Xenopus tropicalis: one gene and its partners. The protein of the gene in region 1 interacts with the protein of each later gene in a pairwise test. Links are inferred from orthologs where the notes say so. Each region holds a gene or a part of one and is shown on either strand. Other genes may lie near its edges. The genes, in order: erbb2, ezr and fgfr4.

Evidence for each region.
Region 2: the proteins of erbb2 (region 1) and ezr interact in a protein complementation assay, tested with the Homo sapiens proteins (2 studies listed by BioGRID and IntAct, with this or other methods). The link is inferred for Xenopus tropicalis from reciprocal best matches to the Homo sapiens genes ERBB2 and EZR.
Region 3: the proteins of erbb2 (region 1) and fgfr4 interact in a protein complementation assay, tested with the Homo sapiens proteins (2 studies listed by BioGRID, with this or other methods). The link is inferred for Xenopus tropicalis from reciprocal best matches to the Homo sapiens genes ERBB2 and FGFR4.

What each region holds. Positions count from the first base shown.
Region 1 is NC_030686.2:9,811,840-9,815,494, reverse strand, and holds part of erbb2 (receptor tyrosine-protein kinase erbB-2), read left to right. Parts: intron 1-56; coding exon 57-155; intron 156-783; coding exon 784-969; intron 970-2,170; coding exon 2,171-2,326; intron 2,327-3,498; coding exon 3,499-3,574; intron 3,575-3,655. UniProt on the Homo sapiens protein: Protein tyrosine kinase that is part of several cell surface receptor complexes, but that apparently needs a coreceptor for ligand binding. Essential component of a neuregulin-receptor complex, although neuregulins do not interact with it alone.
Region 2 is NC_030681.2:64,210,794-64,214,448, reverse strand, and holds part of ezr (ezrin), read left to right. Parts: intron 1-592; coding exon 593-753; intron 754-1,218; coding exon 1,219-1,311; intron 1,312-3,630; coding exon 3,631-3,655. UniProt on the Homo sapiens protein: Probably involved in connections of major cytoskeletal structures to the plasma membrane. In epithelial cells, required for the formation of microvilli and membrane ruffles on the apical pole. Along with PLEKHG6, required for normal macropinocytosis.
Region 3 is NC_030679.2:46,330,088-46,333,841, reverse strand, and holds the start of fgfr4 (fibroblast growth factor receptor 4 precursor), read left to right. Parts: upstream 1-801; 5' UTR 802-1,119; coding exon of another isoform or gene 1,120-1,168; intron 1,169-3,265; coding exon of another isoform or gene 3,266-3,285; coding exon 3,286-3,415; intron 3,416-3,754. UniProt on the Homo sapiens protein: Tyrosine-protein kinase that acts as a cell-surface receptor for fibroblast growth factors and plays a role in the regulation of cell proliferation, differentiation and migration, and in regulation of lipid metabolism, bile acid biosynthesis, glucose uptake, vitamin D metabolism and phosphate homeostasis.

The DNA of each region.
Region 1 (3,655 bases):
AACAATATGTTTCCATTTGGTAAACCCTATCCCGTGGCTGTCTTTCCCATTTTTAGGGTATTTGGATTCCAGATGGTGAAAACATCAAAATCCCAGTTGCCATCAAAGTTTTGAGGGAGAACACGTCACCTAAAGCCAACAAAGAGATCCTTGATGTAAGTATCAGTTTAACACATCAGTATCTGCAAACTGCTATGCAAGTTTACACTACTGTCTGTTCTGGAGCACGGAGACCAGCATCGCTGGAAGAAGATACACGGAGCTACTTAGTAGCAGCTACTTGTTACGGCTACTAGACACCACAAAATCCCCTGCCATAGACAATACTGAGAATTGCCTCTGCTAAACACACATAGAGACAGTTATCAGTAAATGATCAGCATTGTCTATTTTAGTAGCCACAACAAGTAGCTGCAACTAGTAGCTCCGTGTGTCTCCACCCTTAAGAATACAGCACGGCCAAGGCAAGCAGGCAACACTATATTCATATGGGTAAAGACACACGGAGCTACTAGTAGCAGCTATTTGTCACAGCTACTTAAACACAATGCTGATCATTTACTGATAATTGTCACTACATGCATTTTTGCAGAGGCAATTCTCAGTCTTGTCTATGGCAGGGGATTTTCTACCATAGATCAGCCATCTTTTTCTTTCTTTCCACCTGTGTATTTAATATTATTTAGTTGTATACACGCAGTTTTATGTGAAATTCCTATTTTTTAGTAATGTTTAAATTAGTAATAAATGTGTAAGAATATCAGTAACTCTGGTTTTGTGCAGGAAGCCTATGTGATGGCAGGGGTGGGCAGCCCTTACGTTTGTCGGCTGCTAGGGATCTGCCTTACATCCACCGTACAGCTTGTCACCCAACTCATGCCGTACGGCTGCTTACTGGACTATGTGAGGGAGAACAAAGACCGCATTGCTTCCAGAGATCTCCTCAACTGGTGTGTGCAGATAGCAAAGGTAAGAAGAGCTAAACCCCTCATAGGCAAAAGCCCCCACAGACTGCCCTCCATTGATCCCCTTCCCTGCAGAGTCTATTGAGGTGCCCATACATGGGCCGATTCTAGCTGCAGATATTGGTCCCTTACACCGATTCGGCAGCTAATCGGCCCGTGTAGGGGCACTACCGACGGGCCTGCCTGACCGATATCTGGCCTGAAATCAGCCAGATCTTGATCGGGCAGGTTAGAAAATCTAGTCGGATCGGGCACTTTGTCTATACCCGTTGTTATAATTCGACCGTTTGGCCCCAGGGCCAAATGATCAAATTAACTTGGATTCTCCTGATATCGCTCACCCGTAGGTGGGGATATCGGGAAAAGATCCGCTCGCTTGGCGATGAAGGTGCATGGCCACCTTTAGATGCAAAATTGTCCCTGTCGTGAAAGCTGACCTATAGCAGAGTAGCACAAATTACTTCCCAGTCTATCCAATTAACTCTGCAGGGAGGGAGCAGGGAAGGGGGGCTAGTTGGGGGCAGGATGTGCAGGAATTCATGGAGACTTTGGATTTTTGCGCGCAACATTGGTCATGCACCACTGTTGATAGAATCAATAGCGCTGAGTGTGCGTGTCTGGGTTACAGGGAGTAAAGAACACACTGGGGCTCATTTATAAACACAGGCAGATTTGCACGTGGGCAGTAATGACCAATCAGTGATTGGCTTTTTTTAGCCAGCTGCAGGTTAAATAGTTAATGCAAACACTTAATTGGTTGCCGTGGGTTACTGCCCAGATGCAAAATTGCCCAGTGTTTATAAATGAGCCCCACTGACATAATTAGTAAGAGGGATCTGGGTGTCGGGGGGTACAGAATCTGAACTGTAAGTAAAGGAACAGACTGACAAAATCATAGTAGTGAGTTTGAGTGTTACATTGGGTAAAAAAATAACAGAATCGGTATAAGTTAGTCTATCAAAAAAGTTTAGAGTTTAATACGTAAAAACTCAGTTTCTATTCATTGCTATTGGATTTTTAGAAGTGTATTTATCAGTGGGTGAAAGTTTATGTTCATCATTCGATAAATACACTGCTAAAAACCCCACAGAAATAAATAGAATGTGGGTGAATTTTTATGTATTGGGCTCTAAATTCACATTTTAATAAATCTGCCCCTAAATGTCACGTTACACAGCTGTGGGTAATATACATGTTTGTCGCAGGGGATGACCTACCTGGAGGATGTGCGCTTGGTGCACAGAGACCTAGCTGCACGCAATGTACTGGTGAAGAGCCCGTCACATGTGAAAATCACAGACTTTGGCCTGGCCCGACTATTGGATGTGGATGAGACTGAGTACCACGCTGATGGTGGAAAGGTAAGAGCCATCAAAAATTGTAGCAACAAAGGTTTTAAAGGATAAATAAGCTAAATAAAGATACATATGAAGTAGTAGAGTAAGTTGTCAGGAGAAAGAGAGGTCTGGGCTGCTGTTCCTCTGGTCAGGAAAGACATTGGAAACCTCCGATTACTTTCCTTACATCTTTCCTAACAAGAAGAACATCTTTCTTTCTGCTGACAACGTCTTTAACTACTTCATGGTCAGAAACCGACCAGCAGGTGGAGCTGTTGTGAAAAAAATTAATTCATATTGACAGTACAGGTATGGGACTCATTATCCGGAATGCTTGGGACTTGGGGTTTTCCAGATAAGGGATCTTTCCATAATTTGGATCTCAATACCTTAAGTGTACTAAAAGATTATTTAAACATTAGATAAACCCAATAGGATTGTTTTGCTTCCAATAAGGATTAATTATATCTTAGTTGGGATCAAGGACAAGGTACTGTTTTATTATTACAGAGAAAAGGGAATCATTTAACCATTAAATAAACCCAATAGGGCTGTTCTGCCCCCAATAAGGGGTAATTATATCTTAGTTGGGATCAAGTACAGGTACTGTTTTATTATTACAGAGAAAAGAGAATCATTTAACCATGAAATAAACCCAATAGGGCTGTTCTGCCCCCAATAAGGGGTAATTATATCTTAGTTGGGATCAAGTACAGGTACTGTTTTATTATTACAGAGAAAAGGGAATCATTTAACCATTAAATAAACCCAATAGGGCTGTTCTGCCCCCAATAAGGGGTAATTATATCTTAGTTGGGATCAAGTACAGGTACTGTTTTATTATTACAAAGCAAAAGGAAATCATTTTTAAAAATTAGAATTATTTGCTTATAATGGAGTCTATGAGAGATCGCCTTCCTGTAATTTGGAACTTTCTGGATAATGAGTTTCCGGATAAGGGACCCCATACCTGTACTTTAATCTTGGAAGTAAAAAAAGAAATAAATAATGAATGTGAATCACAAAAGTGCAAGGTTTACTTATCCTTGATAAAGCCTATCACATGATGAGAGCAGATTTGCCAATAGCCATTTGAGGCACCACATGACAGCCCCTTTGTAGATCATAAAGGTGGTAGCTTGGTTTCCAAATATTAAAGATAATTTTTTCTCTGTCCCACTCTTTCCCTCACTCAGGTCCCCATCAAATGGATGGCTTTAGAGTCCATTTTGCATAGAAGATTCACCCACCAGAGTGATGTCTGGAGCTACGGTAAGCAAGAAAGCACAGCATATACAACTAGTTGGCCAGAATATGCTCTGTACCTAATGCTTGGGTGTGTTGTTGGCGTTT
Region 2 (3,655 bases), on another chromosome or scaffold:
TTTTTTTTTTGCTTGACTTGGTTTACTTTGTATTTCTTTTATTTGTAACTTAAATTTTATTGAAAAGAAAACTAAACATAACAGACAGATTACCGCAGCAAGTAGATATACAGTCAAGATTGCATTGCCTTGTTATGGCAGTGCCATCAAGATATCGGAGGTGTTGGAAGTTGATGTCCAAGGGCATGTTTCATGGCATGGTTCCAGACAGGTTCCAGACAGGTGGTCTTTTGTTGATGGGGAGGCAGGTCTTTCACTTTGTATTTCTATCCTGAATAAAACAAAAAAAAAATTATAATTCTACAATTGAAAAATGTCACCTTTTAAATGGTTATAGAGCTGTCAGTTTTACTGTGATGAATGTAGAATTATATATACACTAAGGATATATATTAAGGATAACACTTAAAAGACAGTGAGAATATATTCATCTAATAAAAACTCATCAAAGTATGATGCAGGAATTATAAATGTTTAACTGCTACTTTCTTTGCTACTATATTTTCTTCATTTTCAGTTACCAAGGGAGTCTCATACATTTATTGGTTTGATATCACCGTTAAAAAGACAATATTTTGATCTGTGTTTGCAGAACTATCAGAGCAGATCCAAAGAGCCAAGGAATTGGAGGAAGAGAGAAGACGGGCACAGTATGAGGCAGAGAGATTAGAAGCAGAACGTATTTCTGCTCTCCGTGCCAAGGAAGAACTGGAGAGACAAGCAATTGCCCAGACAAAAAGCCAAGAACAACTGGTATGATACTTTTTTCTGGGACAGAGCATTAGTTCTTTCTTACTTCCATGTTTTTTTTGGAAACTCTTAATGAATATGCCAAATCTACATACACTTAATAAATGAGTGAGAAGCTTGACTTTTTGGCTTCTGAATGGAGTTGGGTCCCCAGATGCTGGACTACAGTTCCCAGAATTCTCCAGTTGTAGGCCAGAAACATCTGGGGACCAAGGTATAGGAAGCAGGGGTTGGAAAGGGGAACCATAGAACCCTGTCAGGCATTATTTTAACCTGCCACTCTCTACTTTGCATTATATTTAAATATATACATAAGGCATGTTTAAGTTTCTCTGCCAAGTTATTTGTATTCATTAAAAATATTTTTTTTATTTTTTGGTACACTTTTTGTATGTACAGTATATCCCTAACCATGACTATATTATATGTACATAATGCACTTTTCATATATATCTATACTCTAATTAGGCTTCTGAACTATCAGAATATACTGCTAGAATCTCACTGCTGGAGGAGGCCAGGAGAGTCAAAGAAGATGAAGCAAGCGAGTGGCAAATGAGGGTAAGTTTTTTACACTTTCTATGAAACTAAACATGTTTCTTTCTTTGTAAGCTTGTGAGAACCACAACATACGCTTTCTTCAAATTAAGGGAGTTTATTTAAAACACAGAAGTGACCATTTCAGCACATTTGTTGAGCTCTCTAAATAAATTGAACCCCTTGCGGACTACCAGTAAGAAAACACATATATTTGGGGTCACTTCTGTACTCACTATACTCCTTTGGGAGGATTGCTCAGCCTCTTGTTTTTCATCAATTTCACAGTGACTCAGACTCTCAGTCCCTTCATCAAAGGCTCCTTGTGCTCCTTGACGTGGCAGCACCCACAGCCCCTCTGGGAGGTCCCAACACAGGCTCTGTGCCCTGTTCAGAGAGACCTTTCTAACATTCTCACTACAATTAAATACCTTTCCACAGGAGCCTTCCTGTTGAAAGTGAGCTCCAGTTTATGAGCTGGACTACTGGAATGGATTATCTGGCCTGCCTGATTCTTTCCAGAACACTATAGCTTCCAGGACCAGGCAGCAAAATCCTTTAAACAATGAAAATGTTCTCTGTTTAGCAACATCTCCCTTGAAGCTTACATCTCCCACTATCGACAACTTAAAGGTAAAACTCACCATTTGACACATTAATTAATTATGCTCTCTCAAAACTTTATTAAAAAAACCCCAATCATCATTTTCACAACAAAGCATTCTGTCACAGAGATCACTGATATCTTCTGGAACCTATTCTTGCCACTTCCTGCATGAAGCTAAACTGGCCATACTCAGGCAGATTTAAAATGCTGCTTTGTCCTCATCAGACAGAGCAGTTTATATTCCTCCTGGCACAATGCATTAACCCTATTTACTGACCATCTTAGGGGCTGAGCCGAGTGCTGGGAGGCATGCTCTCATGTGCCTGTGTAGTGGGATTAGATAGAGAATTGCATCTGTGTGAGGGAATGTGGATAAAAAAAACTGTAAGGAACTAATCCAAAAGGGCACTGCTCAGGTACAAGCATGAACTTTTTCTATTTGTATGACCCTGATGAAGGTTTATGCTGTAAGGGCCAAAATGCGTTGGGTTTAATCTATATGGTTTTTTAAATGGTAAAATTGCTGCAGGAAAGCAGCATGCATACACAGGAACATTCTCAGTCCTTAAAGAGGAAGCATGCATAAGTGCAGTTAGATAGTAGGTCTACTGCCTATAGTTATAGTGTTAGTGGCATTCAGTGTAGGTAAGTCACACACCTCAGTCTCCAGTGGTGGCACCCTGTGTGAGTAACTGGCACACTTCAGTCTCTAGTGGCAGCATTCTGTGTAGGTGACTGAAACACCACAGTCTCCAGGGCATTTGCAAATAAATCTTCTGTTGTGAAAATAAAATAACCCAAAATCTCCTTTCACTCAAGTGCAGTACAAACCTCTGCTGCCCAGCACCCAGGTATTTATTAATTTATATGCAAATCAGTGAGATTGCTGTTGTCCACCTTAGCACTATGTTGTTGAGCTACTTAAAAAGTAGTGCTGAAAGTGTGAAAAATTGCCCTACTGCTTTATGGACCTCTTGTGCATTACACAACCAAACCAATATGGGTTAGTTGAGCTGGCAAGGGAGAGCAGCTTGGGTATACTCTGAGTGAGACAATGTGGGGGAGAGACAGCCTTCCACTCCCAATATTCAACAAAAAGTACAATTCATTTTTTTTTTTTGTCTAATGCTGTCATGTTCTTTGTCTAATGCTGCCATGTGTATTTTCAAAGTTGACCTGGTATTTGGAGGTGTGGTCACACAGTAGGCATGTTTAAAATTGGATATATGGCAGATCATTGTGTGTCTTTTTCAATTTTGTTTTTTTTGTTGGGAGTAATGAAAAATGATACAGTTCACTGTAGGTGTCAAAACTCATTGAACTGCATGAGTTGTTTGTAGAATTATGACAGAACATAAATAAATATACATACAGAACACAGTATACTAGCAACACCAGTTTCTTTGCAACATTGCTAAATATTCATTAGTTTCTACACAATCTTTTTTGTTCCTCTGCTCCACGCAAGGATTTTCAATCAGGCACAAAAGCAGAGCACAGCTTTTCCTGCAAAACAACTGTTTTTTAAAGTAGCACCAAATGGTGTGCTCTAGCACTTGCGCCCTGGAGTTGCATAAATGACCCCTTATATGATTATTATTATTATTATTAACATTTATTTATAAAGTGCCAACATATTCCGCAGCGCTGTATAAAGCATGATCTGGACATAAAAGGATGCCTTGTTGTGTATTGTGTATATATGTATTTCTAAACACAGTCATCCTTCTTTACAGGCACAAGAAGCCCAAACTGACCTTC
Region 3 (3,754 bases), on another chromosome or scaffold:
GATGTAAGTCTGCCCAGCTAAATAAGGGCTAATTTACACTGATTGGATCAAGCCAGAATAATGTTGCATCTGTCAGAATCACACTTTGTGACATAGGGTGTCAGGCTGCATTCTCTAGCCAAGAGGTTAGAATTAAGATCTATTGTAAGGGCAACTTTTGTATATATCGCAGTGATCAGTTTGTGGATTAGGATTATTGTAGTTACGTAGTACCAGCCAGCGACACTGACATTTACAATAATTTGTAACAGTGATTAAACAATTTGAGAAACACAGTTACAGAACATAGATAAGATCTGAGGGCCCTGGATAAGATTATTATTGAATTCTCGTTGGCCATAAATATTGACCATGGAATGTTCAAAAGTTTCATCCTATGGCTGCTCGGGCTTCTACTTACTGAGAATTAAAGTTTAGCAATAGCTATAGAGCCACAGGTTGGCCATCCCTAAATAACATCATTAGGCAGAAGAGAATCCAAAGCAAAGGGAGGAATCCCTGCTGGGAATGAGAAAGGGCAGAGCTGGGCAGCGCAGGGAGGCAGTTTAATCCTGCAACACAAAGCTGGGGGAGAAGTTAGCTAATTTGAGTGTGAAAGGGTGAGTAGGTGGGGGGGAGGGGAGAGAAACAGCCCAGAGGGAGGGGGAGCAGAGCCTGGGGGCGGTGTTACTGGTGGGATTCCCTGTAGCATTGCACCCTTTATAGTCCATTGTTCAAGGGAGGGGGAGAAGAGATCGCCTATTGAGTGTAACCTGAGTAACTTGTGCCAGTGCCTGAGTGTGAGAGGGAGCCAGCAGGGATATCGTACCCTATGCACTGGGCAGCTCGGCGGTAGCACCGTCCATGGTCTCAAACTTCCTACTGGCTGGGACCGAGCCGCACCGTCCTAGATGGCAAGTTGCACAGGAGCCACGCTGGGCTAGTGTTTCGCGGGAGCGGGCTATCGTGGGCGAGTCTGGATCCCCTGTGTGGATTAATATTTGGGGCTAAGGATGCTGAGTGACTGAAGAAAAGGCTTTGGCGCAGCTGCGCTTTTTGTTGGAATATTTGCCTTTGGTTCGGCGCTTTGGGGATTATTAGTGCCGTCGGGGAACGGAGCCGATCGCGGACTTCTTATGAATGGGGAGCCCCAGTAACCCTCTCACTGCAGCCCGGAGATCTGTCGCAGGTACAGTATGGAGGGGGCGTGGGGCTGTGCGGCTGGGTTACACGTTACTATACCTTACTATAGGCACTGGGCAAGGCTCCTACTGTTGGTGGGATCTGATACATACACATATTCTATGGTTATTATAGTAAGGGCTAAGCAGTGCCTGTATGGAAAGCGCTGGGGGTCACACGTGTGTAGCGGTGTTGTTATTGCTCCCCCCCCCCCACCCATGGGCACCCAGTGCCAGCAGCATGGCCAACTAGCTGGGCACCCCCTGCTCTCCCAGCACCCCCGGTATAGGAATTGTAATTGAACAACAGCTGGGGGGCCGCCACTTTCTAGCCTCTCGTATTGAATGAAGGTCCCATTCATTGGAGCTGCTCTTGCATTTTGATTTGTGTTTTACCCGAAGCTGCTTTTGTGCAGAGCTTTTTTGTGTTTGTGTGAAGTCCCCTTTGTGTGGCTCGGATTTAATGGAGGGGCAATATAAATGTCACTGGGTGGAATTGGTGATTTATTGGCTCTCTGTGGAGCCCCAAGCTCCAAGCATCTCACACACTGCCTGGTCTATTATATTGTGCCTGATCTGGGGTATTGGGGCTCAGTTTTTTTCCCTGTGGACTTAGATTTGTAGCTAAAGCTTAATCACAGTTTGGAGATTGCTAAGTAAACAACTTAAGGTGCCCAGGGACTTTGTTTCAGTCTTATATACATTGGTTGAATAGATTTAGCTTGTGGTTTATGTGTTTTGACTTTAGTGGTGCCCAGCTAGCATGCTGGGAGTTGTATTCCCATAACACATCGAAAGCTGCAAACCCATGCCGCCTTTAGATGGGTAGTTCTATCATTTTTATTCATATGGTGAGAACAAAATATTTCATGTACTTTGTTCCCGAAGAATAAAGTAGATTTTGTTAACTGACTTTGCAAGGTGACAGTCGAGTCATAACAATGCAGTGTGTAGATGCAACTAGGAGTGACTTGTTGCACAGTGCGTGATTAATAGTTCATATACTGGTCTGTATTGATCTGTACTATATTCTTACTGTATAGCACCGCACAAATTAATCAGGCACACTGTAAAAATTATAATGCACTTTTCACCGGGTTATCAAGATATTTCATTTTTGCTGATACAGTACTAAGATAGCAAGTCTCCATTTATTTTAAGAAAATGATAACCATGACCAAATCCCCACCCCTTGTATTAATGTAGTTATCCCTTGGCAGGAGTGGCATACATTGCTACAAATTGTGATCCATTTTCATCTTCTGAAGAGAGATGGGGGAAGTTCCTGATAAGGTGCAACTGTTTCCAAGAGATGTCTGAGGAATCTTCCATTAGTCAATTATCTTCTGGTTTAGCCATCTCTCTGTATTTCTATTGACTACTCTCTTATCTTCTGTGATTGCAGAAGTGCTCTGTGTAAACTCTTGCTCTAGCACCAAAACTATTCTGTAAATCTATAACCAGAGTAGCCTTGGCACACAAAGGCTTTTGTTGCACTGTGTTCAAAGATTAAACTGGAACCCAGGGTCCCTGCAGCTAGTTACACATTGATATCTCCTGGAATGTGTATGCAGGCATGAGAAAGGGGGTGGAGGGGATTTATCCCTATTATCCTTTAGCCCCTGTTTGTTCTGGGGTTTGGTACAGCCCTGATGTGCATTGAAATCATTATAATGGTCTAAATATGTGGAGAAGTTGTAAGTCTCGAAAAGTTAATGATAACATTGACTGTAAGTGATATTTGTTTTGGGGGTGCCTACTCATGTTTTCCCAGGGGAACAGAACAGGACAGTTTAACTGTGTTTGTCCCACATGCGTGCTTTAAGTTTCATCATTCTTGCTATCACTGTCAGTGGCTTCATATACACGTCATTATAGGGATGAAGGTCATTCTTGTTTATGCATGTAAAATATAAGCAGTTATCTATAGCTTATTACCTTGGGTTCAATGCTCCATCTTGCTGTGTATGTTTGGGTGACAGCTAAATTAATTTAATAAAGGGATTCACACCTTATAGTGGGTCTTAAATATTTTGACTCATGTTGAATGAGAGCCTCTAAGATGTAATTTAACTCTGGTCCCTGGCTTCTTCATTCTTCTTCAGTTTGCCCACACGTGCCAGTCATGTCTGGATCCGTAAAAAGAAGCTTTTATGCCATGCAGAACTTTGCCAGGTTGCTGTTGGGTGTTCTGTTCGTTGCCACGTTAAGCTCATGCAGGCCAGCATTATCCGAAGATGAGGCCAACTGGAAAGGTAACTTCCATAACATATATGTATTTTTTCTTTTTTTTCCTGTTATTAAAAAGCTGCATTTGGAGTAGTTGTGCACACATAGGTCAATGTTATTGCAATTAGTGTATCGTATATGCAACAGTACAGGGCAATGCTTAAACTGTAATATCTATACAATGTAGATTTGCTAAACACAACATGTTGGGTATGGATTTTCCTCTTGACTAAAGCAACTGAAGCTCCCGTTGGAGAGAGAATCCATTCAAATAGTTGCTGCTGAATACCATCAAGCAAGTTGTTTGCCACTTTTCCATGATTAATTGACCACTAGAGGCCAGTGGTATTTCAGTGGATGAGCTT